7 linked regions of the Canis lupus familiaris genome follow. Each later gene encodes a partner of the first gene's protein in a complex. Links are inferred from orthologs where the notes say so. Each region holds a gene or a part of one and is shown on either strand. Other genes may lie near its edges.

The links.
Region 2: TMEM237 (region 1) and TMEM17 share a complex: the UniProt entries of both Homo sapiens proteins name them as parts of the tectonic-like complex. The link is inferred for Canis lupus familiaris from reciprocal best matches to the Homo sapiens genes TMEM237 and TMEM17.
Region 3: TMEM237 (region 1) and TMEM231 share a complex: the UniProt entries of both Homo sapiens proteins name them as parts of the tectonic-like complex. The link is inferred for Canis lupus familiaris from reciprocal best matches to the Homo sapiens genes TMEM237 and TMEM231.
Region 4: TMEM237 (region 1) and B9D2 share a complex: the UniProt entries of both Homo sapiens proteins name them as parts of the tectonic-like complex. The link is inferred for Canis lupus familiaris from reciprocal best matches to the Homo sapiens genes TMEM237 and B9D2.
Region 5: TMEM237 (region 1) and CC2D2A share a complex: the UniProt entries of both Homo sapiens proteins name them as parts of the tectonic-like complex. The link is inferred for Canis lupus familiaris from reciprocal best matches to the Homo sapiens genes TMEM237 and CC2D2A.
Region 6: TMEM237 (region 1) and MKS1 share a complex: the UniProt entries of both Homo sapiens proteins name them as parts of the tectonic-like complex. The link is inferred for Canis lupus familiaris from reciprocal best matches to the Homo sapiens genes TMEM237 and MKS1.
Region 7: TMEM237 (region 1) and B9D1 share a complex: the UniProt entries of both Homo sapiens proteins name them as parts of the tectonic-like complex. The link is inferred for Canis lupus familiaris from reciprocal best matches to the Homo sapiens genes TMEM237 and B9D1.

The regions. Positions count from the first base shown.
Region 1 is NC_049258.1:10,565,182-10,569,448, forward strand, and holds the start of TMEM237 (transmembrane protein 237), read right to left. Parts: upstream 2,801-4,267; 5' UTR 2,668-2,800; coding exon 2,629-2,667; intron 1,859-2,628; exon of another isoform or gene 1,777-1,858; coding exon of another isoform or gene 1,759-1,776; intron 160-1,758; coding exon 128-159; intron 1-127. UniProt on the Homo sapiens protein: Component of the transition zone in primary cilia. Required for ciliogenesis.
Region 2 is NC_049231.1:63,645,677-63,648,789, forward strand, and holds the end of TMEM17 (transmembrane protein 17), read right to left. Parts: intron 2,662-3,113; coding exon 2,558-2,661; intron 2,387-2,557; coding exon 2,273-2,386; intron 1,396-2,272; coding exon 1,117-1,395; 3' UTR 501-1,116; downstream 1-500. UniProt on the Homo sapiens protein: Transmembrane component of the tectonic-like complex, a complex localized at the transition zone of primary cilia and acting as a barrier that prevents diffusion of transmembrane proteins between the cilia and plasma membranes.
Region 3 is NC_049226.1:75,821,463-75,825,474, reverse strand, and holds the start of TMEM231 (transmembrane protein 231), read right to left. Parts: upstream 2,801-4,012; coding exon 2,662-2,800; intron 2,565-2,661; coding exon 2,395-2,564; intron 1-2,394. UniProt on the Homo sapiens protein: Transmembrane component of the tectonic-like complex, a complex localized at the transition zone of primary cilia and acting as a barrier that prevents diffusion of transmembrane proteins between the cilia and plasma membranes.
Region 4 is NC_049222.1:113,405,958-113,409,962, reverse strand, and holds the start of B9D2 (B9 domain-containing protein 2), read right to left. Parts: upstream 2,801-4,005; 5' UTR 2,600-2,800; coding exon 2,577-2,599; intron 2,499-2,576; coding exon 2,407-2,498; intron 1-2,406. UniProt on the Homo sapiens protein: Component of the tectonic-like complex, a complex localized at the transition zone of primary cilia and acting as a barrier that prevents diffusion of transmembrane proteins between the cilia and plasma membranes.
Region 5 is NC_049224.1:65,396,170-65,400,378, forward strand, and holds the start of CC2D2A (coiled-coil and C2 domain-containing protein 2A), read right to left. Parts: upstream 2,801-4,209; 5' UTR 2,519-2,800; intron 1-2,518. UniProt on the Homo sapiens protein: Component of the tectonic-like complex, a complex localized at the transition zone of primary cilia and acting as a barrier that prevents diffusion of transmembrane proteins between the cilia and plasma membranes.
Region 6 is NC_049230.1:32,842,118-32,845,617, forward strand, and holds part of MKS1 (Meckel syndrome type 1 protein), read right to left. Parts: intron 2,845-3,500; coding exon 2,747-2,844; intron 2,557-2,746; coding exon 2,428-2,556; intron 2,263-2,427; coding exon of another isoform or gene 2,166-2,262; coding exon 2,061-2,165; intron 1,415-2,060; coding exon 1,306-1,414; intron 758-1,305; coding exon 701-757; intron 1-700. UniProt on the Homo sapiens protein: Component of the tectonic-like complex, a complex localized at the transition zone of primary cilia and acting as a barrier that prevents diffusion of transmembrane proteins between the cilia and plasma membranes.
Region 7 is NC_049226.1:41,067,626-41,071,723, forward strand, and holds the start of B9D1 (B9 domain-containing protein 1), read left to right. Parts: upstream 1-1,298; 5' UTR 1,299-1,430; coding exon 1,431-1,493; intron 1,494-3,164; coding exon 3,165-3,233; intron 3,234-4,098. UniProt on the Homo sapiens protein: Component of the tectonic-like complex, a complex localized at the transition zone of primary cilia and acting as a barrier that prevents diffusion of transmembrane proteins between the cilia and plasma membranes.

The sequences.
Region 1 (4,267 bases):
TTTTCCTAAAATTTTCAAGAGATCATCTCTGAATTATTATAATTTTGCAATGGAACTAGTTGACTTTTTCACTTTATTCATTTTGCATTTTTAAAACTCAATGATACAATCTCTAACTTATGTTTACCTTGGCACAGGTGGAAGGGCTCGTGGAGGACGCTATGGGGAGAAAAAGAAAATCGCTTGTAAGTAAAAGTCTCAGAACATCTTCATTTCATGTACTTCAAATCTTTTGATAACCTTGTTTATCAAATGCAACAGAGGAAGTACTCTTGAGAATCAGATGGGCAATTCTAAAATTGTTCTAACATTTCTAAATTTCATATAAAATTCCTTCCTTCCTATACTCCTTTCTATCCAGAGGCCAGGCTCTGTTCTAAGTACTACAGATGCACTAAAGAACAAAACAGAAATCCCTGCTTTTATGGAACTTCCATTCTAGTGGTTAAGTATTAGAAGATCACACACACACAAATGAGGGAGAATGTGGAGTGCTATTTTAGTTACAGAAAGTCTCTCAGACTTCCGAGCTGAGACCTGAACAAGAAAGAAGAAAAGAGATAAAGGGGAGCAAATACAAAGCCTTTTAGGAGAAACGGTTTCAGATAAAAGAAGCAAGCCGGGTAGGGCTGTAGCATAGTTATCAAGACAGGCAGGGGCCAGATTAATTAATTAGGCTCTTTTTAGACAAAAAGGGGGCAGTCCGGGTGGCTCAGGGGTTTAGCACCGCCTTCAGTCCAGGGCCTGATCCTGAAGGCCTGGGATCCAGTCCCACCTCGGGCCCCCTGCATGGAACCTACTTCTCCCTTTGCTTGTGTCTCTGCCTCTCTGTGTGTCTCATGAATAAATAAAATCTTAAAAAAAAAAAAGACAAAAAGGTGTCCAGGTTTTATTTTAATTCAGTGGGAAGCCAAGGGAGGTTTTAAACCACATAGCAACATACTTAAAAAAAAAATAAGATAAAATCACTCTGAATACAGTATGAGACTGCATTTTGGGGCAGAGAGAATTAAAAAAAAAAAAACCTTATAAAAATAAATTCATTTTTAAAAATTTTATTTATTTATTTGTGAGACACAGAGAGAGGCAGAGACACAGGCAGAGGGAGAAGCAGGCTCCACGCAGGGAGCCCGACGTGGGACTCGATCCCCGGTCTCCAGGGTCACGCCCTGGGCTGAAGGCGGCGCTAAACCGCTGAGCCACCCGGGCGTCCCTAAAAAATAAATTAAAAAAAAAACAAAAAACTTAACAAATGGTAAGAAAAGTTGTGTTTGCCATTCAGAGAGATTACAGTTGAGACGCATTCTGGAATCTTTCAAAATAAAATACTATCAGCAATGTCTCGAAATCAGTTTAATGTTGCAAGTGTCTCATGCTGCTTGCAGGGGACACTGATTCAAAAGGGTTTACATTTTTAGACACTTTTTCTTTTTCGTTGGTTCTACGACCGTCCCATTTAGCGATCCATGCGGTCAGCGTATTAATACAAATGCTACGAGATCAGGACACAGCAGGCTGTCTCAACACTATCCAGTGATGAACCTCACCACCGGGAAAGAGCAATAGTCCAGGAAAGAGCCACCGTCAGGCGGCTACGGATCGCGTCCTGCCCAAGGCTTCGGGTCACACGACGCTTGCACGTTTTCAAAACTCCCGCGAAAATGACGTGTCACCGCCGACCTTCCGGCTCCTCAAGAGTCGGAGGGCTCCACCGGACACAAAATCCCAGAGACTCAAACGGAACCGAGGCTGGCTTACCACCTGCTTCTTTCCCATGGCGTCCAACGCCGGGCTTCCCCGCGGCCGCGCGCCGGGAGCTCGCAGCCGGGAGCTCGCAGTCCGCTCCCGCCCCGCCCCCCGGCCGGCTCCCGCCCCGCCCCGCCCCGCCCCCCGGCCGGCTCGCTATTGTCCCCGGCTGGCTCCCGCCCGGGCCGCCGCGCGCAGGCGCCGTGCGTCATCGGCCTGCGCCGCCCGGGCCTGGCGGACACTCAGCCGGTTCCCTGCAGGACGCGGCGGGGGGGGGGGGCGGGGGCCGGTCGGGCCTTTGCAGTGCAGCCCTGCGGAAAGGGGGCCGTGGGCGTGGGGGGCTGACATGCCCGGGAAGAGAGACTCCAGCGGGCGTGGGGCAACAACCACGGTTCTGCTCATGGTTTCCGAGTGGTTGCAGGGATTTGTTCGAGGGCGGTGGGGAAAGACCATGATCAATGGTCTCCGCCAGGAAACTGCGGTCTCCTCCCTGGGTGGCTAGAGGCCCTCCGGGAGGAGTCCGCAGGAGAGGCCTAGCTGGCAGCCCCGGGGCACCCAGGGGCCCGGAAGGCTAAGCAGAGAGGCGTCGTCACAGCAACGTGGCCACTCAGGCCCGGGCATCGGCACGCCCGGGTCCTCGCCTGGCTCCCGGGGTTCGGCTCCCGGCCTCGGGACGAACTTGCATCGCCCGCTCCGGTCCAATCCTGTGAGCATCCGAGGGGCGGACGCGCGTGCACGGCGAGCGGGGCTCTCGGCGGCCCTCGGCGGCCCTCGGCGGCCCCAGCCCTAGGCGGCGGCCCCGCCCCAGGAGCCGCGGAGGCGATCGGGCTGCACCCCCCGCCTCCGCCACGCCCCGTGGCCGCAGCGCCCCTCACCGCTCACCGGGTGGGCCTCCGGCCGAAGCCCCGAGTCCGCCCTCATGGCGCTCCCCCTCGGGGCTCCCTCGGCGCAACCGCCGGCGGCCCGCGCCTGGCTCCCCGCGACCCGGCCTCCGGGGCCTGCGAGAGGGGGGCTCCCCAGGGTCTCGCTGGGCCGCAGCTCCTGGGCCGGACCTCCGCCTGCCTGCGGGGCGCCAAGCCCCGCCCCGCAGCGCGTTCGCGTCAGGGGGGCGGGGCTGGACCCGGAGGGGGCGGGGCTGGACCCGGAGCGGGCGGGGCGCGGGGAACCCGGAGGGGCCCGAGGGCGGTGCGCGAGAAGGACCCCGCGGAGGTCAGAACAGGCTCTGGGTACCAGGAACCGACGATTGGCAAGGCCAAGGCTGCCCGGAGGAGCCGGGAACTTCTAGTCGCTGAACCAGGAGAGGTCTGGAAGGGCCAAAGACGGATTAAAACTCCTTTGAAAAGGAGGACTTTGGGGATTCCTGGGTGGCTCAGCGGTTTAGCGCCGCCTTCAGCCCAGGGCGTGATCCTGGGGATGCGGGATCGAGTCCCGCATCGGGCTCCCTGCGAGGAGCCTGCTTCTCCCTCTGCCTGTGTCTCTGCCTCTCTCTCTCTCTCTCTGTGTCTCTCATGAACAAATAAATAAAATATTTAAAAAAGGGGGGGGGGGACTTCTGTGGAACGCTGTCAGATTCTCCAGACACGGCTTCTTCCGACGGATCTCTGAACAAACTAGAGACCCCTGTACTGCAGGGACGTAGTAGGCACCCAGAGCGGACCCCTACCAGGCACTTACCGACTGGGTATTTGGTTCTTTAACTTCTTACTCTTGTATCTTGTTTATTGCGTGACTTTGGTTTCTTGTGTGGCGTATGGGAAGCCAAGTTAACTGTCATTCAGTTTGGAATCCTACACCCGTTAAAATTGTGTAAACCCCGCTTTGGGCATGAATAGAGGGGACGGGGTGCAGAGGCGCATCCCGTGCACCGCCCTTGTAGGGCGCAGAGATGCCCCGCCCCCACCCCCACCCCCACCCCCACCTCCGGGCCCAGACAAATATCAGATTTCTTCTAGTTGTGTGTGTGTGTCTGTCTGTCTGTGTAGTGATACAGGCAGTTCTCAAAATGTTTGCCACTTGCTTATCCTCCATCTCTGTACAGCAAGTTTGGGGAATTTTTTTTCTCAAAAAGAAAAAACACAACATAAGATCAAATCCAAGTTCATGTACCATTAAAAATGACTTAATTTTCTTTGGTGGGATTTTTTGGGGGGGGGGGAGGGAGGTTGGGTTTAATTTTTTTCTTTTTTGTTTTTTTGTTTTTTTGTTTTGAAGATAATCACTAAGTTAAAAAGAGCTACAAATACTTTGATGTACATACTTGGTTTTATATTTAAGAAAGAGATTGGGGGAGTAGACGGATGGTGTGGGGATGGGGAACATTAGAGAATAATGTAGAAGATAGACATACAGGGGCAGCACGGCTGACTGGAAGTCTTAAGACTTAGGGAAGAAAGAAAAATAAGACTTCTTGGAATAGCATCCTCATCTTACGGTTTTCTCATCTATGGGTCTCTAGGACTAAAGTCAATTGCCCTTTCCGAATTTAGACATGATGTAGATATTGGCTTTTAGGCAAATTAAT
Region 2 (3,113 bases), on another chromosome or scaffold:
AGGAAAATTGGAGAGAATACTTTTTAATGTAGCTACAACTGTCTCTCAGTAAAATACATTACTTATAAAGGCACATTTCCCTGTAGGAAAGAAGAAAATATTATATCTCTTAACACAATCCAATAATAAAAATAATGTTCAGATATACCCATGCAGCTTTGTTCTTAACAGAACTTCCCTAAATAGATTTCTCCTATTAGCGAGGGAACGTGCTCATTTAAGATCATGACTATTGTCCCTTTGCTCATCTCAGCTCTGTGTACTATTAACAAGCACCCTGCTTTTCAAATCAAGCCGGGTGTGAATTTACTGGCTATGAGTTTTTCAGTGAACAATGATCTAGTAGATGAGGTGAAAAGGGTTAATGTGCCTAGCCCAGTGCCCACTACATAAAAGGCTAACCCTGTATATATGTTTCTCTTTCCCTTGCAACTCTGTAATAAAAATAATAAACCCACAGCCCAAAAGAATTATACAAGACAGGAATAATTTGTTGCAAATACTTTAACATAAATATTTCATAATTTATTATAAAGACATTTTGCACATCATGACTATAAATACTGAACATGGTTTTATGAAAATTACAATTTTATGATTTCCCAAATACCATGATAATCCACCGGTTTTTAACTTCAGTATAAAAGCTAGGAGTAGGGTTAGAATTTAACCCTAGCAGACATGAAAAATCGGTATCTAGATTTACAAATATATAATACATCAGAATACTGACAAGAATTGCCATGTGCTTCAGACGTACTGCCAAGGCATGAATAGCCAACAAGTTTAACAGAAATATACACATTTCTAGTTTTAGGTGCTACCTAGAAATATTCCCGTAAAGCTCGTAAACTGTGACTACTAACACAGACTTCTACACACCTGAAAAGTCAACAAGAATATTAAGAAATCTGGTGCCAAATGGACACTATTTAGGCTTTAGGGTTGACTCACTGCTTTCATGTACTATACAGTCTTATTACCCCCAACTTTGCAATTTCAAAGCTAAAGAATATATAGTTCAAAACACTAGCTTTGTTCTCCTCATGCTAGAACTCTGATATTTTCCTCTTGTGGAAAAGCTGACCTTTCAGCTTTTCACTCAACAGCACTGGGTCAAATCTCTTCTATACAAGATCTCATTCTTCTCACGCCTCCTCTATATGCAGAGAGCCGGTCAAAGTCTTGGAGGTGGAAACGAGTCGCCAACTGATTTACCATTTTCCTCAGGGTAAGAAAGGCTGAAACAACTTGGAAAGTAAGGAACAAAGTAAAGATGATGTGTATCGCTTTTTCCAAGGGCAGATTTGTTAGGCCCTCATTAAAGAGCAAGAAGAGAATTAAAGGCAGCTGCAATAGGAGGCTCAAAAGCCAAAAGCCAGCCAACTCAGGAACCTGCAATGACACACAGTAAGAGTAATCACATCAGTAGAGGACAGTCTTTTGTTTATACGGATCAGCACTCTGAAACCTACATTATGAGCTCTGTAATTCAAAAGGAGTATAACATGGTCCCTGTCCTCAAAGGATTTACAGTCTTGATTAAAGGTGAAAACTAACTGATGTGGCAATGCTAGAACAACATACCTTGGTGAATAATGAAATGCACCACTTAGAGGTATGAACTAAATACTACAAGAAATAAGACAAGAGACTACTTAGGGTAGGTAAAAGAAAGAACCCAAGGACGTAAGCTTTTAGGGTTGGGTAGAAGGAAGAAGAGGCTTAAGAAGGTAAGTAAGCAAAGATGTGGAATGAGCACAACTAGGAATCAACATGTCAGCCTGGAATGGATGCTTGGGTTAGGAAACAGCAAGAAATACAGTGAGGCCTGTGGGTGGGACCTGGAAAACCAGAGAAATCTTTAGGCAGCATCCCTAAACTCTGGTAGCTGTGGATGCTTATGCAGCATGACGATTCAGAAAGCATGTGCCTGGCACAGGATTCCTGAATCTAGACATGTTTAATTGACCAAGTATTTTCAACAATGGTGAGAAGAGGGGAAATTGTCAATTCTTAAGTATTTACTATGTTCAGGTACTTTATATAAATTATTTCACTTAATCCCAACAAACGGTGGAGTAAATATTTTCTCCATTTTATATACAAAGAAACCAAGGCTCAAGAGATTCAGCAAACCGACTACAGTGACAGAAACAGTAAAGCTGCAGGCAGGCCTTTGCTCCTTTTACCACATCTCTCTGCCTTTTCCTTGCTATGAAAACCATACTGCCTTTATATGTAGCACTGAGCAAAGGAAAGAAGAGCCTACCTTTTCCTGTAGGTTCCCCATGTAGCCCAGATACAACCTGATACCTTCAATTAAGGTTATTAGGATGATAACAGTGACCACAATAAATTTGTAGTAATCAGGCAAGATTGAATACTAAAAAACAAAGCAAAACACAAAAATTAGCATGTCTGTAAAAATCTCATAGATAGTAAAACTGACCTGGGATAGAAAACAGATATTAAGAACTGTAATTTATTGACAATGTAACAATGCCAGGGAGGGGCAGGAAAGATCTCAGCAGAAGTATTAAAAGCATAGACTTACCTTCATCTGAAGCATCATAACGCTGCTTATCCACCAAAGTGGGAAAAAGTAAGTGTTAAAATAAAGTGACATCTGCAACGCCAAACTAGATACCATTTCATTATCTACAAAAGAAAGAGAAAAAGAACAAACTCTTAATCCTGGTCAATGCCCTAGAGGTCCTTTCGTTTCTTAAAGTTAGTAACTACGGGGTTGGTTCAACAAAGCTCCAAATTTTAAGCCTATTTATAATTGCTGATGGTGAAAAGAAATATTCATCATAATACTATTTAATACTATTTAGTTCTTGGGGATGTGTTATATAGTTTTCAATTACTTTATCATTTTGCCATTACAGCCTGTTGACTTTTTTGTACATTACCGGTATAGATTAAATGTGGAATATTAATATGAATCCTGTTGAACAGATAAAGATCGTTACCTCCTTTATAGAGTTCTATGTAAATAGAGGCTATAAAATGAACATGTAAAATACATAAACACTAATCTCACAAACGAACCTCATACAAAAACTAATCCCTCTAAATTACAGACACACCCCTCTTCAGCATACCCT
Region 3 (4,012 bases), on another chromosome or scaffold:
GTTGTAGTGGATGAACAAATGAATGAACCCTAATGCTCTCTCCTTGCTTTCACGATTACTTTAAGTTTTCATTTTATTTATTTATTTGAGAGAGAGAGAGAGAGAGAGAGAGGGCACACTTAGACTCAAGTAACCTGAGAGTATGATAGAGAGGAATACTCAAATGTAATGAAAAAAAAAAAAAACCAAAAAATTCTAACAAAAACTTAAAAGACTGGTAATGCTAACCTAAGGAAAACTAACAAGGGGCGCTTGGATGGCTCAGTTGGTTGAGCATCAGACTCTTGATTTCAGCTCAGGTCATGATCTCAGGGTTGTGGAAGCAACCTCCTCCCAGTGTGGAGCCTGCTTAAGATTATCTTTCTTCCACCTCCCTCCCTCTGCACCACCCCGCTCTGCTTGCACTCTCTCTCTCTAAAAAATAATAAATTAAATAAATTTTAAAAATTTAAAATAATAATAATAAAGTACATCTTTTGTTTGGAATAAAGAAAACCTTTGCTTCCACTTTTGGAAAGGAAACCCATGCATGCAGAACACCAGAAATACAGTGAGTATACCGTGAAAAGCATACCTTGACACAGCCTCTCTCCGTAGTCACACTTCCCCACAGGCATTATCATCTCAAGAATGAAAATGGGCAACAGATCATGATTAGAGAGGAGTTATTGAGGCAAATTTGTCTCCTATTCCAGTTTTACTTTTTAAAATCATTTTAAAAGGTCTGATCCAGAGCAGCCCGGGTGGCTCAGTGGTTTAGCACCACCTTGAGCCCAGGGCATGATCCTGGAGACCCGGAATTGAGTCTCACGTTGGGTTCCCTGCATGAAGCCTGCTTCTCCCTCTGCCTGTGTCTCTAAGTAAAATAAAGTAGAATCTTGTTCACTGCAGTATGCTCCTTAATAGTGAAAAAAGTAAAATCCTGGGATGCCTGGGTGGCTCAGAGGTTGAGCGTGTGCCTTTGGCTGAGGGCATGATCCTGGAGTTTTGGGATGGAGTACCCACATCAGTCTGTCTGCATGGAGCCTGCTTCTCCCTCTTCCTATATGTCTCTACCTCTCTCTCTGTGTGTCTCTCATGAATAAATAAATGAAATCTTAACAAAAAAAAGAAAGAAAATAGTAAAAGCCCATCATGAACCCACCAACAGGGAACTAGTTAAATCCATTACTTTTTCCCTATAATGAAAATTTTATGCAGATCTTTCAAAGAATTAATAAATGTACATATATCAAACTCAAACTTTAATTTTATGTCATTATATATACCTGTAAGTCTTTAATATTTTACATTTAGGTATTATATATTTTATATGCATTTTTATAATCAGAAAAATCAGGAAAAAAGTAATCTGAACTGTATTTTGTTTGTAGTTATTCATATGACCAATCAGATGTAAAAAAAAATTTTTCGGAGCACCTGGGTGGTTTGGTGACTGAGTGTCTGCCTTTGGCTCAGGTCATGATCCCAGGGTCCTGGGATCGAGTGGGCACTGGGCTCCCTGCAGGCAGCCTGCTTCTTCCTCTGCCTGTGTCTCTGCCTCTCTCTGTGTCTCTCATGAATAAATAAAATCTTAAAAAAATTTTTTTTCACTTAATTACTAAAAAAAGTCTGAATTTTTTTTCAGCTACACAAGTTGGCTTGTAGATCAATCATTTCTGAGATATGCAAAGAGATTCAGCTTTGGAAGAAGAAAAAGTAGAATTTTCATACTTCTAGAGGAAAATGTTTTCAGAAATGAGCAGAAAGGTAATGATTGCAAAGGAAGTACTCACTCATCCTGAACCAAATTCTAAATTAAAGACAGTAAAACGCCTCCTTTTCATCCTGGACAACTGCAAGATGAGCAGCATCTAATTCTACAAGCTCAGAGAGGCGGGACTGGGATCCAAGCACATTCTGGGTAGATCGATGAACCAATCAGCGCCTCTTCCACGTGTTAGGTCTGCATAAAAATGCCTGTCCAACCAGCCGCTGCTCCGATGCACAACTGCACCGAAAAATTGGGGTAATTAATAAGAACACCACTCGGCCTTCGTGACTCCTGAAGAAAGTTTCGCGACCACGCATTCATCAGGCCAGGCCCACGGAAATGAAGAGGGCCAGAGACAGGCTATCCCCAGGCTTCTGTGGGACACATGGTGACAGCAGGGGCTAACATTCTTGGGGGCTGTGGACGGCTTGGGGAAGTCGAGTGAAACAAGAGAGTCACTTCCCGGGAATGAAATCCACGCCCAAGCCCACGCGTCTCTGTACACAACCTCCGTGGGTTCAGGGACCCCTAACACCCACGCTGGGCTTCCCACGGCCGGAGCTGGTCGCCCTCTCCCCGCTCCCCCGTCCCCCCCCGCCCAGTCCCGGGGGCCCTCTAGGCCCCGGGCGGGAACCACGCACCGAAACCAGCGGGACGCGCAGGTGACCCCCCTGCAGCCGGTTGAAGGCGGGGAAGGTGCTCCAGGCGAGGAACCCGCCTCGCTCGGGTCCCAGTAAGGCCACGAACAGCACCTGGTGCTGGAAGCGCACGGTCGGCTGCTCCTCGTAACTGCTCCGCTTCAGCCACAACCCTGCGGTGGAGAGGGCGGTGGACAGCAGGTCAGGAAGGCGGGCGCGGGCGCAGCCGGCCGCGGGGAGCTGTGCGCGCAGCGGCCGCGAGCAGCTCACCGTGGCTCCGGAAGGCCACCAGCAGGGGCGGGATGTACGTGAGCGCGGCGGCCAGCAGCAGGAACAGCGCGGCCTTGGAGCAGAGCCCCGCGCGGTAGCCGCGCTCCACCGGGTGGGAGAAGAGCTCGTAGAGCGCCATGACCGCCTCGCGGATTCCGGCCGCTCGCCGGGGAGCCCTGCGCGGTTCGCGAGGGAGGACCAAGTTTGGCTTCTCCTGGTTGCCATAGCTCGGTCTCCACGGCAACCGACGGCGCAGGGACGGGAACCAATAGCAAGGACGCGGGGCCCCGGCGGGGGTGGGGCTAAGCGGGGACGGCGCCGGCCGGCGGGCGTTCGTCCTCGCTCGACGCGTGCCGCGCAGTTTTCCAAAGGCCAAGTGGGCGCGCGGCGTGTTCAGGGCCCAGAATCGTAGCCGTTTCCGGTGGTAACGATTGTGGGAAAGAAGGTTTTTCAGAAAAGTGGGCTTAAAGTCGTTACCGGCTCGCGTGTCCTCCGTTAATCCGCACTGTGGTTCACACCTGAATCCGGCCAGTCACAGCACACCTTCCGTCGCAGGAAAACGCAAAAGAGGAACGTGGCTGTGCTCCTGGACGTGGCGCTGGAAGGCCAGGCCGGCTCCCTGCGGCTCCGAACTTTGTTGCTTTCTCTCTACTCCACAGCAGGATGGCGCAGACACGGGACACAACTCTCCCAGCTCTTCCAGGGGTAAAGGGTAATTACTACGTGGCTCTCTCTGCTGAATTTCCTTAGCTTATCCTGGGGACAAGCTTGGCCACCGGTTTTAGGGGAAGCTGTGCCACCCCCCCCCCCAAAGATGATAGTGGCTTATCACTTAATTGAATGCTTTCACCTCTAACCAGTATTTTGAACATGGCAGAAGGAATTTTTTTTTTTTTTTTTTTTGTACCCTGGTCAACAGCCAAGTTCTTCAGGAGGCCCTAAAAGGATCACAATGCAGCGCCAAAAGGTAGTGTGAGGTTTGTGGTCAGAGCGGAATCCAGCAGGCCATGCCTCTATTTTGAAGGCAACCTAGAAATAGCTTTTAGATAATGCAGCTGAGATCCTAACTACATAGATGCTTGAGGGGGCCAAGAGCTGATCCTTCGGAAAAACTATCCAGGGTCCTCACCGCGGTTCAATCGACAATATGAGCCATAAGATTTTTTTTTAATTAAAGATTTTATTTATTTATTTGAGAAACAGAGGCAGAGACACAGGCAGAGGGAGAAGCAGGCTCCATGCCGGAAGGCCGACGTGGGACTCGATCCCGGGTCTCCAGGATCATGCCCAGGGCTGAAGGCAGCGCTAAACCACTGGGCCACCAGGGCTGCCCCAGCCATAAGATTTTGAC
Region 4 (4,005 bases), on another chromosome or scaffold:
ATGGGTATAATAACGCATCCCTCATAGTTTTGTGAAAGGATTAAATGAGCCAATACACAGAAAGCCCTCAGAACAGTGTCTGGGGCACAGTGAGTACTGGATAAGCGTTGGATGGCATTTTGTCACTCTTCTCACCCCACATTAGAGGCCTCGTCCAAGGACTAAAATGGGGCCCAGGGTGGCCTTCAGGAGCTTGAGCACATGGTGAAAGGCACATAGTAATAGCAATAGTCCTGGGGGTGACAATAATAGCAAAAGCCAGACGCTGTGCTAAGCGCTTTAGCCATGAATTCATTTAATCTGCCCTCTGGGTCTCTTAATCCCCACCCCACCCCCCAGTTTAGACTCCCCCCCCCCCAAGCCCACAAGGCCCTGCTTGGTGTGGCCTCCTGTGCCCCCTTCCTGAACTCATCTCTCACCACTCTCCCCATCCCTCACTACCCTCTAGCCTCACTGGCCTGATTTCTGTTCCTCTTCCTCAGGGCCTTTGCACCACCTCTGGCTTCTGCCCAGAAAGCTCGGCTCCTGGATGTGCCTGTTTTTTTCCTTCAGGGATCGGCCCAAGTGTGCCACTCTCACAGAGGGGTGCCCCCCCCACCCTCCTATCCGAACACTAGTCCCTATCACGTCATCTCCTCTCATTTCTTCCCATAGTGACCACTGTCAGTGATCCCTGTGCTCATTTCCTTACCTGCTTTTTAAAAAAAATTTTGTCTCCTCTACTGGGAGCCCCAGGAGAGCATGCCTCTTCTACACTGCTGGGTCCCCGGGACCTCAAACTCTGATCTTCGTACACAGAAGGTGCTCAATAAGTGTTTGTTGGACAAATAAGTGCTCCTAGGAGGTGGGTGTTAATAGAATCCCCATTTTACGGGTAAAAAAAAACAGACTCTGAGAAGGAAAGTCACTTGGCCACTTATTCCATGAACACCTAGTGAATGCCTCTGTGTGCAAGCACGGTCATCCAGGCTGGAGCACAGCAGGAATGCAGCTGCCCAACATCCCGTGGTGGTGCTGGACTCAAACTGTGATCTCGACTGCAGGGTCCAAGCCCTTTATGTGGATGCCCCTGAGCTTGCTGCTGGATTAACTGTCCCCCCCCACTAAGAAACCCCCTAAAATAATAAAAATCATGTCAGTTATCCCTCCCTTCTGGGCCAGGAAAGTACCAGGCTCTTCACATACGAGATTTCCCAACACCCCTCTGAAAGACAAAGATTCCCACTTTCCCACTTTACAGATGAGGAAAAATGAGACTCCAAGAGGGGGCAGCACCTGGCCAGGGTCACAGAGCAGGTGAGTGGTGGGGTCCAGACTGGAAACCAAGTCTGACTCCGGAGCCTGCCTCTTATGTGCTGAGCTGCAGGAACCCCCTTTCCCTGGGAATCTCAGCCAACATCCTACCTGCCAGTGAAACTGCAAAGGGCCCAGGCCCTCCAGAGAGGATGATGGCAACAGCCACTCACTTCGTGAGCATTTACTCTACGCTAGGCAGCACACTCGAGGCTTTACTAACAGAAGTCCATTCGGCTTTTACATAAGCCAGGCAAACACTTAACTGGGCCAGGCCCTCTTCTCAGTGCTCCTGATTTTCATTTAGTCCTCAGGACAACCTCATGATGTAAGCGCTGTTATTATTCCCATTGTACAGATAAGGAAATCAAGGCAAAGATGAGCGCCCAAGGCCACAAAATTAATACGCAGTTTAATTTAACACTCAGTCCGCTCTTAACCTCAACACTATGTTGCCTCTTAGCTGCTATTAGCTTCATTTTTAGAGAAGAAAGCAGAGAGGTCAAGGCCAAAGGCCACCAATCAATAAGTGAGGGAGTTAGTATTTGAGCCCAGATCTGGTGGCCCATGGCCCTACTTGTTACACTGGCTACTATACTGCCTCTGATGGGAAGCCCTGAAAACGGGGGCCTCTGAAGTCCCTCCTGGGCCTGTGTGAATGAACGTGGATAGCTGATCCAAGGGGCTCCTACATCCTCACAGAGAATTATGAATACAGGAGGGTGGCCTCTTCTCTGTACAGCGGGGATGGAGGTCCACTTTATAGTCGGAACTCAATAAAGCAAAGAAAGCAGAGTAGGGGAGGGACCCAGCGCACCCCTAAGACCAAGTCCAGTGGGGTTAAGCAGCCTAGTGTTTTGAGGATTGGGAGTGTGTGTGGGGGGGGGGGGGGCGTCTAGCCCCATCTTCAGGGGCTACGGGTTCAGAGATGGGTGCCAGAGCCCCCAGAGGGAAGGGATGGGAAGAACAATGTGAGAGTCACACCGTCAGAGTATGGTCGTGGCTAGGAGTCCTGGGAGCCAATGGAAGATGCGGATCAGGGACTAGGCCAGGGCAGGTCAAAGAAGAAGGGCAGAAACTCGGGGAGGGGAAATGAGCCAGGCCCGGGAATACCTGTGTGGACGCCCCACTTGCAGAAGAGGCTACTTTCCGAGAAACCGGTGGCCCCCATGATCTGCCCGATGACGTGCACCTCAGCCATGGCCCTGAGAGAAAAATAATCACAGCCCTGTGAAGTGTGTACTATCATCGCCAACTTGACAGATGAGGAAACTGAGGCCTACCAAGTAAGGCGTAGCACTAGCATTCCCGGCTAGTTTCGTCAAACTACTGAGCTTGCAGTCCTAACCACGATCCTGACCGCCTCCCCAAGAGAGCCCCGGAAAAATGAGGGGGGCGGGCCGAGAGCTGGGCGAGGAGCTGGCTTCTAACTAACTACCCGCCTCTGAGATAACTTCTTCCTTTGGCTCAGCGCGGCGGAAAACCCCGCCCCAAGACCCTGAGGCCCCGCCCACAGGCGCAAAGCCCCGCCTCCTCGCGTCCGAGCGCCGCGAGGCGCATGCGTCTTAAGTGCAGGGCCGCCTGAGCCCCGCCCCCAAGCCCGCGCATGCGTTATTCCTACCTCAGAGCACCTAACGGTTAGGTGGGGCGAAGCAGCAGCGTGGGGTGCAGTTCATGCGCCTAACCTGTCCCTCTGTCGGCGGACGCCGACTTCCTAGGCTTGGCTCGCGCCTCTCCCACGAGCTTCCTGGCAGCGAGACACCCGAGGCGCCGGTCCCTCCGAGGCTGCGCCCGCCTTCGGGCTCCCTGGTTGTTGCTGGGGCAACCACAGCCTCCTCCTAGCCTGGCACCCGCCTTGCGGGCCGTTAATTGGCCCGAGCAGGGAGCGAGGGCGGGGCTAAGGTGTGATGGGCGTTTTCTCTCCCCTCTCTCTCCATTTTGGGAAGAGTGGCTCTCCCAGCGCGACTCGTGGTTCCGCCATGTGGGGCGTGGTCGGGCCGCTGCCATCTTGAGTGTGGCTGAGGAAGCCTGCGCGCCAACTGCTAATCCCGGACGCCTTCCGCACAAAATAAGCGCGCGCATCTGGCCATGCTAAGACTCTCCCAGCCGGGACCGAGATCAGACGCTTGAGCCAGGAGCAAGGGGGAAGCTCCCTGAGGTCATGGCGTGCTTCCCCCCCGCCCCCCCGCCTTATCATGAAAAAAAAAATCCTTCCTCCCTCAGAGAGACTCAAGCTTGGGAGGGGGTTTTCCTTCCTTTTTTTAGAGTTTCCCTTGGCTCCCCGAGTACTGATAAATGCAACTTCCCTCTCCGGAAGGCCGCCCAGTTCGCTGTTACTGATTCTGAGCAAGGATGGGGAGCGTGGGGGAAGGGGTATGAGAAATGAGGAACCGAGGCCCCTTTATCTGCAGAAAACCTAGTTCTTGGAGGCTGGACTCAGCCAGTAACGTGTCATGTGACTCTCTGCGCAGCTCCAGGTCTCAATTATCTCATCCGTGCAATGGGTGCAAGTAGAGTGACTGAGTCAGAGGCACTGATTACCTGAGCAGTGTATCCTCCACCCTCAAAATCCACTTGAACCCCTAGTCTGTCCCTATTCCTCCAGCCCAGACCAGGACCGAAGGAGCCTCATGTTCCTATTTCTAGCAAAATGGGACCACACGAGTAGTCAGTCACCACCTCAAAATCATAAATGGGGGGGAGTTAGTTGGT
Region 5 (4,209 bases), on another chromosome or scaffold:
AAAAAGAACTGTGATGTATTTTAGGACAGAAAGATTCCTTCTCAATAAATTAAAAAAAAAGTTATATAGGAAAGATACAGAAGTAAAAATGAAAAATGGAACAGAGATGATTTTTTTCTCCTCATTCTTTCCTGATCATTACCTTGAATGAGTTTCTCAGGAAATCAAATGACATCAAAATTTATTTTTTCGTGAGCACAGTTCCTAAGAAAAGATAAATCAATACTGCCTGACTTTAATATGCAGCTTGTCATCGCCAAATGCATTGAGCACTTGTTAATATATTCCTATTGGCAACATCAAAATAAGAGGCACAATTTACTGCAGACTTACTTTGTGCTATCTCTGGATGTATGATCCCCCCGACCTTACAACAGTACTTCCAGCTCGGTTGTACATGCCTCAGTTTACATGTGAGGTACCAAGGCTTCCTCTGAGGTTGGCTTCTGGCAGGTCACAGGATTTGTCCAAAGTCATGGTCATTAAATGTCACATTCAGAATGTGACCCCATGACTTGGTGATTTCAGTCTTCCCCAGGCTGCTCTATCTCTCTTTCTCACTGTTTATTCCTGCTTTTGTGATGATATCAATGACTCACCTATGCTAGTTCACTGTCCTAGAAATTCGTAAAATTGAAAACTTACAGAGTCTTGCCCCACTGAGAAAAGGCTTTGGCTACTTCAGGTCAATGATTTATTTAACTTAATGCAGAAATCCAAAGACATTTTTCTAGGAAATACTGATACCTCTATCCAAACAAATGGACTCTGAGGGTCATGAGTAGCTCAGTCATATCCAGAGGACTCTGTGACAACTTCTACAGAATGTAGGGAAAAGAATGAAGGTATATGATACGAGATGCATGGCATCTCAACTTGGGCTGCTTAAAAAATAATACACTATGAGAGTCCTATTCTAAAACAGTGAGAACTTGGGTGTATAGAAATAGTGAGACCTGGGTTCCAATTCTAGTTCTATTATCAGCTATGTAGTCTCGAGGCCATGCCTTCACCTCTCTGAGATACATTTCTTCTCCTGTAAACTTATGATGATAATTTTTACCTCTAAGAGTGATTACTCTAGAAGAGCTAGGTGATAGAGTGTGTGGGTAAAATGCCTAGCACAGACCAGGCTCTCGATATTGGTTAAGTGCTATTATTAAAACAAGGTGCTATTAGAGAGGGGAAGTAGAAGAAAGGAGTGAGGACGGAAAAAGAGCTTAGAGGACAGAAGGGAAATCATAAGAAAGACTCTAGGTGATATTCAAGTCCCCCATTACCATCTTCAGCTCCCACCCTCCCCACCTTCAACTTCTGAGCTCCCAAACTCAAATTCCTCTCTTTCCCTTCTCCTAGCTAGGCCCAAGGCAGTTTTCTTTCTCTCTGGTGCTTCTGAAGCAGCCCTCACCCCGGCCCCACACACCCATGGGCATTTCCTCTCTGTGTACTGTGCTAAGCTTTTTCTGGCCTAGACTGTTAGGCTAGGAGCCTGGAAACCTGGCAGATGCCACACACCCCCCTTCTAAATTCCGTATCTACTTCTACAAGGTAATCCAGCCACAGCTTCCCTTTGTATAAAGTTAGTGACATATCGCTTTATAGAATTATTTAATCAGCTTGATATAACACACATTGCCCTAGAAGACTACATATAAATGCCATACTTGCGCTGCACTCTGTGGTATATGCCCCGTGCATTTACATGATGAACTAAGGGCTCCCAGGTCCTCCCTGGGAGTAGTCAGCTGTGCTCCAAGCACGTTCGACTCTTTTATAAATATCTGATGGCGCTTAGCTCATTGTACTGTTAGAGTCTGTTCATAGGTCTGTCTTCCGAGTGAACTCTGAGCTTCTGATCTGGTCTAATGCTTTTCTGTACACTCTGAACTCCAGCACGTTGCTGGTGCATCGTTCATGCTGGATATGTGTTGGCGTGAACGACTCTTTAAATGAGCTCTAGGACATAGGCATAGAGAGATATTTTATTCTGGAGCTGAATTTATTTGCAGAAGAGGTTATATGAAAATCCAATAACAGACATGTATTTCCCATTAGACTTTATTAGCTTTCCATAGTGCCTCTCTGCAACGAAGGCCAACTAGTAGTATAAGTAAAACAGCTAGCAGATTTTCTTGTGGTCTTTTGGAATGGTGATCTTCTTCCCTTTGTCCGCAATGGCTGTTTCTCTGTCTAATGCCAAGCAGAATGAGGTGGCGATAGCTAGCTAGCACTTTGCCCTTGAACCAATTTGAACTGAAAGGCTCAGAAATGCAACAGGCAGCAAATGTTTCTGGGACGGAGACTGAAATGCAACAAGATGGCACGAAAAGTCCCAGGAAGGAAGCAGAATGACCATCTGGGAGGAATTCCACCCAGGGGCAGTGATGAGCCAGACTTCCATTTCCTGCAAACCAGACACCAGACAGCCGCTTAAATCAGAGCAGCCCGAGTAATGCTCTAGGGAGTCAATTCCAGAAAGCAAAACCTGAATCATAGTGATGGGAACCCTTACACTTACAATTCATTAAATCCGCTCAGGGTGCCGAGGGGAGCTGAGCTCCAAGGCCGGGTCACTGAAGGCAGGACACCACTGCTGCAGCCCTGCTCCCGGTAAGACAGGATTACCTTAAGGAACTTTACAAAGCACTTTGCAGATTCCGCTTTCTGGGACGAAAGGAAAGTGGAGAGAGAAGAGTCTTACTGTTGAATCTTCTAAAAGAATCCAAAAAGGCTGGATGTTGGGGCGGCTCCCGGGCTGCTCCCTGGGAGGCTGCAGAGCCGTCTGGGAGCAAAAACACCCGCTTAGCAACACGTTCCTAAGGGAGGTCACTCAGTGACTTTTTTTTTCTTTTAAAGTGACAGGTCACTTCCAGAGGGGAGCCGGCAGGAAAAAGACAAGAAGGAATGGGCTTGGGGCAGCTGATCAGAAATTAGGGGAAGCTTTAGGAGCCACACCCTCCTTCTTGTCATCAGAGTCACTGGGCATTTCTGGCAAAAGGCAGGTCACGCTCAGAGGGAGGTGGTTTAAAATCGTGAAAGGTCCCCATTACAGGTCTGGCTTATGTGCAGAAAGGTCCTGTGGTAGTGCTGCTGGCCACCAGCGAGTGTGGTGCAGGAGTGTTTTCCAGTTAAATGTGGAGGCTGAATGCTCAGGATTAATCCTTGCTTATTCTTTGAATCCCACTGAAATCGCTGAAAGAGGATATAAATGGTAGGGCTCAAAAAAGCAAAGGTAATGGGAGAAGAAGCAAAGCAGATGGAAGAGTAATGGAATGAAGAGACCAAGGAAATCCACACTCCAGGCTGTGTATGTGTGTGTGTGTGTGTGTGTGTGTGTTGTGTGTGTGTGTGTGTGTGTGTGTGTGTATCTGTGTGGCACGGAGGAAGCAGAGAGGCATAAGAATGTGAAAATGAGCCCATTCATTCTGCAGGATTCCAGAGAAGGCCAGGATTTGGCTCAGTAGTAGTGTGATGGGCTGCATTGTGCCCCTCCAAAAAAAGATATGCTGGAATCCTAGCCCCCAGGACCTCAAAATGTGACCTTATTTGAAGAGAGAAGGGTCTTTACAGAGGCAGTCAATTTATAAAGAGGTCATTAGGGTGGCCTAATCCAATCTGAATGTGTCCTTATAAAAAGGGAAGATTTGGAGACAGAGACAGACATGCACATGGAGAAGATGATGTGAAGGCCCAGAGAAAACAGCATCTACAAGCCAAGGAAGGTCTGAAGCCACCAGCAGCTGGGAGAGAGGCCTGGAACACATTCTCCCTCACAGCCCTCAGAGGGAACTAATCCTGCCAATACTTGATTTCTTTTTTCTTTTATATTATATTATATATAATATACTTTATTTCTTAATACCTGATTTCTTACCTCTTGTTTCCACAATCGTGAGACAATACATTTCTCACCATGTAGGTGGTCCTTTGTTATGGCCTCCCCAGGAAGTGAATACAGTCAGATATCAAGGCAGGTGGGGGCTGAAAATGCAAGAAGATATGAAAGGTTGTATATGGAGGGGCAAGATCCTCAGGAACTTCCCTTACCCCTCACAGCCTGAGAAATATGTCCATCCTCCTTACTCTCCCTTTTTCTCCCTCACCCCCTCAGGAGACTGGAGGCTACATCTCCAAGGAAGTTGAGCCAGAGACACCTTGGTCTCAAGTTCCCAGGTATAGAAGAGGGTGGGTGTGCCTCAGGGCTGAAAA
Region 6 (3,500 bases), on another chromosome or scaffold:
TCGATCCCGGGACTCCAGGATTGCGCCCTGGGCCAAAGGCAGGTGCTAAACCGCTGAGCCACCCAGGGATCCCCTCTATTAATCTTAAAAATTAATTATAAAGTAATATGTGAATGCATTACCAATGGTAAAATTTTAAAACCACTAAGTTTAGGGAATAAAAAGTAAACATCCCTGACATATCCCTCTCACTACCCAACACCCATCTACCTTCCCACCCCTATCCCCACCCCAGAGAAAGCCACCCATAGCATGTGTGTACCCTTCTAGACTTTTTTCACTGACATCTTCTTTTTCATTAACCGTTCTTTTTTAATATACCATATTTTATTTTATTTTACTTTTTTAGAGAGAGAGAGCCCGCGAAAGCTCTCTGAAGGGGGGTGGGAGGAAGGGGTTGAGGGAAAGGATCTCAAGCAGACTCTATGTTGAGCACAGAGCCTGACATGGGGCTTGATCTTATGACCCTGAGATCATAACCTGACCCAAAATCAAGAATCAGATGCTTAACTGACTGAGTCACCCAGGCACCTCTGCTTTATTTTGTAACACATAACAAGAACTCTGTTCTATATGCTATTCTCTGATTTCCTTCTGGCATAGAGAATATGTCCTTTAAAAGAGATGCTATTACTCAGCCACATTCTAAATGCTCTGGCTAATCCCAGCTCATGGTGCTGCGGGATGCCAGGCCACTCACCATCTCAAAGTCCGTGCCCACAAGGCTGCTGAGATACTCCTTGTGCCGGCCATAAAGCTGAGGAAACAAACCATATTCAAACTCAAAATGCAACCCTAACCAGACCAGGGTCAGTTCTGAATGAGAGGGAGAAAAGAAGCTGTAATGGGAAATGCCACAGACAACTGGAAGCTGAAGCATCTAAGCCACTGACATTTTAAAGTGAAGTACAGAGCCTCTGGAGTCTGCTGGTCTGGGACCCAGCCTTGGCTCTTGCACTTACAAGCCCCATGACCTTGGGCAGATTTCTTAGCTTTTCAATCTCAGTTTCCTCGTTTATAAAAATGGTAATAATAAAAGCATTCGCCTCAGAGGGTTGTTGTATAGTCTCAATGAAAAAGTATGTGAAGGGCCTCGCAGAGCACGGTAAGTACTCAAACAAATGGTCATTGTTATTATTATTATGTTATAGTATGATCAAAAGTTCTTGATATGTCAGCAATGCTTCCTATGTCAGGAGAGGACCAGTAAGAAAGACCCTGCAACTATGAACATTGACCCCGAACATGATTTCAGCTCTCAGGCACCAAGGCTCATCCCTGCACTTGGAATGAACTCGCTCTTACATCCTTGAACACACGCTGTTCCCGCTCTTCCTCCTCTGGCTGTGCGAGGGAGGATGCATTGTCCACTGTATACTTCCACACCTCCTGCTTCTCCCCCTCAGTCTCAATTCTGTAGGGTCAAAGTCACACAAAAAGACCAACTATGGTAAGAAGAAATGTGTCTCTCCAGACCTAGCTCAGGGATGACCCATCATTGGCCATACGCCTCACTTGAAGCAAACGAGGATGAAAGTGGCCAGAATGATGAGCAGGCGAGGGAAACAAAGCGGAAAAGCAGAAGGGGCATTAAAGTGGACACACAGCATAGGTTTGGGGCCCATTTCTGCCTCAAAGTCATGGGGAAACCCTAAAGCACAACATCCTGGTACCCAGTTCTCTCACCTTGATCATTTCTAACGTATAGTTCTCTTATTGTAAGACATAGAGGTAGGAATAGTCAGGCCCAGAGGAAGCGATCTGTCTGAGCTCACCCCATCCTGTTCTGGCTGGTCCTACAGGCAGCAGCACAGAGAATTATTTTCACTTAATTACACCATTGAAGTCAGCCCTTTCAAACTGGTATAGCTGCACACTTTCCTAGAACAGAGTCCCCAGGATCTTAAGGATTTATTATAAGACAGAATATGAACTATTGGCTGGGAATTTAGAAATCAGGGCAGATGAAGGATTTTCTCAGAATCCCCTTAACTAGGGGGAGTGAAGCCAAGGGAAGGAATGAATGCCAGTCCCCACTCCCGGTTTTTTCTTCTCCTCACCTGTAGGGTCCTTTGAGGCCAGTGAAATCAGGTTTTACTGTGATCACACCATTGCTGTCCACCTTCAGAGTACAGAGGACATGTTCATACTTCTTATAGCCAAGTCTAGAAACCAGGAAATCAACACCTAGGTTCAGGACCGCTGGTCCCATCAACCAGAGAGGAGGAGGTAGTCGGCCCATGCCAGGGGAGAGGACAGAGGCTGTAGTGAGAATTATCATAGTCAAATACCTTCTTCTAAGCACAATCAAGAAGAAAAAGAAAAAGTCCCCCCCTCCTACATACCCCAAGGTGACTATAACAGGATAGGTGATGGATAGAGAGAAAAGAGGAGGATCTGAGCTGGGTGGTGAGGGACTTCTCTCACTTTCCATACGGCCCAAGGTCTGCCATGATGTACATTGTCTGAAGAGGGGTGTTGATGACATGGTTGTTCCTGACAAACTCTTCTGAGGGTTCCCAGGTGACAATTCGTGACTTGAGGATGCCGCCTTCCCTGAAAGGCACCACAGGAAGTGTCAATTCCCAGGCACCCCCTGAAGAGCCTGAAGCCCGCACTTGGGAGAGCATGCCAGGGGCGAGGCCTATGCAGGACGGGGAGCTCGAGTTGGTAGACATACCCAGACACTGGCCTAGAAGGACTACAAAGGCCCCTCCACCCAGCCCCCGTGCTCATTTGCACTTACATCCCTCGCCTGTCCTGCCGTCGTCGCCTGACATTGGCCATTCGTTCAACCAAAAATGATGGTACCTCCCGGGCTGCAGTGGTCATTTTCTGACAGTGCTAGGAAAAGAGAGCAGTGCCCTGTGACCCAACTGGTCAGGGCCACATGGGATCAGGTACTGAAGGCAAGTCTTCCTTCTGAAACCTCATCTGGGACCTGAATCTAAGAGGTAAAGCCATCTCACAATTATATGTGTTGGGGAGGGGAGCAGTGGTACAAACAAGCCAAAGAAGATTCCTACCACGCCTTGGTTTGTTCCAAGATTTTAGCAGCATGTTATCCTTCAGAAATGGGTTTATTTATGCTAACATTAAATGAGTGTGTACGGGCACCTGGGTGACTCAGCACGGAGTCTCCTGGAATTTCTCCCTCTCTCTGAGCCCCCTCCCCCTGTTCTCGCTCACTCTCTCTCAAATAAATAAATAAATCTTTAAAATGAGTCTCCAATTTCTGAGTACATACCAACCAAAAGTTGGGTAAAAACAAAAACAAAAAAAGTTGGGTGAGTGTGCCCGGTAGATGTTGATGTTACCAGGTACTTGGAAGATGCCAAATAGGATACAAAGCATAGTGTGAAAAGTCCTCCCATCGGTAATTCAGCGCTAACTGTAATTTCATTTACTTTTCTAAAACAGAAAACCCAAATTTTACATGCTACCAACCCAGAGCTTTCTTAACATTAAGCATTAATCTTTCAAAAATACTCATTTAATAC
Region 7 (4,098 bases), on another chromosome or scaffold:
GGGGGAAGGGAGTATGACCAAGTCCCTGGAGAGCAGACCTACACTCTGAGCTGTGTTGTTGCGGTGGGGACCCCACCCATCTGGCCTCCTCAGCCGCAGCATCTCCCATCAGACTACCCACAGCCCCCTCCCCTAATCAGTTATCCTTGCTCAGCATTCCGGAAGAGGTCAGTGGTCCAGGCTGGCCTTGACTCTTCCCTCCCTCTCCTGCACAGGTGTCTGAAGGGAGCCCCCCTGGTCTGCTTCCAAGCTAGCAGCTGGCTACGGTGGGACCACCCCCTGGGGTCCCTGCTGGGGGCATGGCCTCCTGGAAGTCTACACACCTGTGCATCCCTTCCTGGATCAGAGATAAGGTCTCTAATGCCACTTTGACAACCTGGCCTGGGACCAGACAGAGGAGGCAGTGAGGCTCTTTAGCCTGTTTAGTCCTGGATGTGAATGCTGATTCGGCGACTTACCTGCTGCTGTGACTGTGGCCCAGCCACCTCCCCTGGGAATCTGCTTCCTCTCTGAGTAGTGGCCATGTATTCAAGTATTCATTCATGCAGCACTGTTACCAGGGCTTCTATGTGCCAGGGAACTAGAACTCAAGATCCGCGTGGCCGCTGGGCTCATGGAACAGCGGGCTGCCTAGAGAGGGGAGTCAGGATAGTGATCAACGTGCAAATACAAACCACAGTGTGTGCTAAGACGAACCGGATCGATGTGTTAACCGAAGCTATGACCACTCGGGGCGGCCAGGGGGTTAACCGGGCAGTGCCGTGGGTTCTGGCTCAGTCTTCCTCCGACGGCTGGAAGACTGGGATGCCAGGTGCTGCTCCTCCGTGGGCCTCCGTTTCCCCCTTTCACACCGAGGAGCCGTAACTCGGTTGTTTGAGGCCCTCCCCAGTTTGTTTAATACACTTTTGGTGGGGGGCAGGGGCCTCAAAGCCCCAGGGGACCCGCCGCAGTCCCCAACCGGGGACTCCGCAGAACCCGGGCGGCCCAGCCCCGGCCCGACTCGCGGCCTTCGCGCGCGTCACCTCCACTCGCGGCGGCGATCCAGCTGCACCGCGCAGGCTCCCCTCCGCGCGTCCCCGCCGCCGTCCCCCCGGTAGCGCCACAGCGCCACCTCGCGGCGGAGGGCATCGGCCCCACTTGGCTTCCGGCCGGCGGGAGGCAGGGCGCGCCTCCGCCCTGCGGGTGTGACCCGAGCAGCGGCGCGGCTAGCTTCTACACCGCGGGCGGACCGTTCCAGCTCCGCCCCCCGCCCCGCCCCGCCCCCAACCGCCGGCTGCGCTTGCGCACTGCCGCACCCGTGCTTTCTTTCGCGAAGGTGCCTTCCCACGAAATGTGTCCCACGCGCCACGCCGTCGGTTTCCAGGGCAACCCGGCACCTCTTAGCAGCCCCGCGCGCCGCGGGGGTCGTTTCCTGCGCCCCCAGCCCTGCCATGGCGGCCGCGGGCCCCAGCGTCTTCCTACTCATGGTCAACGGGCAGGTGGAGAGCGCCCAGGTGAGCGGCCGGGGACCCCCGCCCGCCCTCCCCCCAGCCACCCGCGGGGGCCCGTCCCGCCACCTCCCGGGCTGCTGCGTGGCCCCGGAGAGGCGCGTCTGTCGGGTCAGGCGGGGGACGGGAACCAGCGTCTGAGAGACCAGGCCTGTGAGCCCTGGTTCTGCTCGTGTCCGCTCCGTGGAGTCCCGGGCAGGAGCCTAGCGGGTGTAAGGGGAGGAGCGGAGACTCGCCCGGGTTGCTGGGCCCCGGCCCCCCAGCGCTCTGCACTCTGAACCCTGAGGTCCTTGCATTTGGGTTAGGATGGAGGCGACCTGGTGAATGTGCGCCAACGACGGGGGTGGTGGAGAGGTCCGGGGAGGGTCTGTCGGGTCTGACCGACGCGGACGCTGCTCCCCATCGCCTACACTTGGGGAGACCCATTTGTCGTATTCACATGCATATAAGTGCACCACGAATTCGCCACGTGCCGGACTCGGTGCCCAGCACTGCGCATTCGGCCCTCACCACAACCCTGGGAAGTGGGTGTTACTAGCATCCCCATTCTACAGATGGGGACACTTGCCCAAAGGGAGTGGCAAAGCTGAAATTTGAACCCAGGTTGCCTGACACCAAAACTTTGGTTCGTTACCCTTCCAGGCTGTTGGAAGATGGTATTTATTGTATTGTGGGGATTAAGTGAGATGGTTTGGGCAGAGCTCTGCCAGGACCTCTTACTAGGTCTCTCTTGCCTCCCTGTTTCATCGGGATAATGCTCCCGTGTTCCCACCCTGTCCACCTGCCCCTGGCCTAGCGTCCAAGACTGCCTTCCCTTCTTCTGTTCTGTCCCATTAGGGGCCCTTGGCTGGGCTGGATCATGCCTCTCTGCTCTGTCAGCACCCATGCCACTCCCACTGTGCCTCCTGCTCAGTTCTGGGTTCCTCCCTCTCTCCAGGCCTTGAGCTCCAGCCCTGTGTATACTTCATGTCCTGATAGCATCCTTTCACTTCGGCAATGTTCCCTAGATCTCTTCTGTGCCCCCTTGTGCCAGGCTCTGGGGGACACAGAAAGGTCATTGCACTTGTTCCCTCTTCACAGTCAAACAGGGTTGACAGAAATAAAGGAGGTATCAAAGCTTTGGTGGAGGGAAGGACCAGGGCCTGACAGAGCTGGGGGTGGGGTGGACCTTAGAACGTTTTGAAGGATGAAAGGGAGTTTGCCAGATGGAGGAATGGGACGGGCAGGGCAGCCCCGGTGGCTCAGCGGTTTAGCGCTGCCTTCGGCCCAGGGCATGATCCTGGAGACCTGGGATTGAGTCCCACGTTGGGCTCCCTGCATGGAGCCTGCCTCTCCCTCTGCCTGTGTCTTTGCCTCTCTCTCTCTCTGTGTCTGTCATGAATAAATAAGTAAAATCTTAAAAAAAAAAAAAAAAAAGGAATGGGAAGGGCATGTCAGACAAGGTGGAGCCTGGGCAAAGGCTCAAGGGTGGTTGCAGCCTGGGACTGTCCCTTGGACTCCCACATCTCAGGCCCCAACCCTTCCACTGAACTCCGTGTCCCCATCCCCGGCTGTCTCTTAGACTCTACCCCAGGCACCCAGTGTCAGCATCCCTATTGGCTGCCCTTAGCTAGCCACCGCGGTGCCTCCCCCTCCACAATCCCTGTAAACAGAACCTGTGTGTGCTTCTTCCTACAGTTTCCTGAGTATGATGATCTCTACTGCAAGTACTGCTTTGTGTACGGCCAGGACTGGGCCCCCACGGCGGTAAGCTGGGCTCTTGGGCCTCCCTCCCTCACAGCCTCCATGCTTAATGGGGTTTCTGAAGGTGTCGATGTCCACCATACCCCTTCGTCTTCCAGTTCAGAAACTGTTGAGAGGTAGACACCGAGCTCAGGGGGTTCCAAACATGACTTTGTTCCTGGTAAAGCTGGAGCAGAGAAGGTGGAGCAGCCACCTTCAGGCTCCTGATCAAAGCTGCGGTCGCTCACACACCCTGTCCTGGGAACTTGCACTTGGCAGCAAAGAGGAACGTGTGGGCGGCACAGACCCCTGAGGGCCAGCCTGGAAGTATCTGGGCGGTAGGTCCTCTGTCCCTCTCCTAGCCCATGAGGAGGACTCTGGGAAGTCAAGAGGCCGAATAGAAGCTCTGCTTGCAAGACCGGCCTCAGAGCAATCTGTCTCCACAGACAGCCAGGCCAGAGTCCCAGTTTCGTGGGGCGAGGTAGACAATAAGTACTGATGTTCTAATATGTTCTAGGAAAAAGTGCCGGGGACAGAGTAAAGTCAGGAAGGGAGGAATGGAGGGTAGAGAGAAGCTGGAGTCTAGGTAAGGTGGCCAGGGAAGGCCTCCCTGAGATGGTAACTTTGGGTAAAGGGTGAAGGCAGGAAGGGAACAAGCCACACGGAGGTCCGTAGGGAGAACTGTGCAGGCAGAAAGGGCAGAGGTAAAAAACAACAACAACAACAACAACAAGAAAGGGCAGAGGTGCACAGGCCCTGAGGTGGGAACGTGCCTGGCGTGCCCAGCATGCCCAAGGCACAGGGAGGAGGCCTGTGTAGCCAGTGAAGAGCATGAGCAGGGATGAGAGTGGCTGGAGATGGAGCAGGGGGGTTGAGGATGGGACAGGCC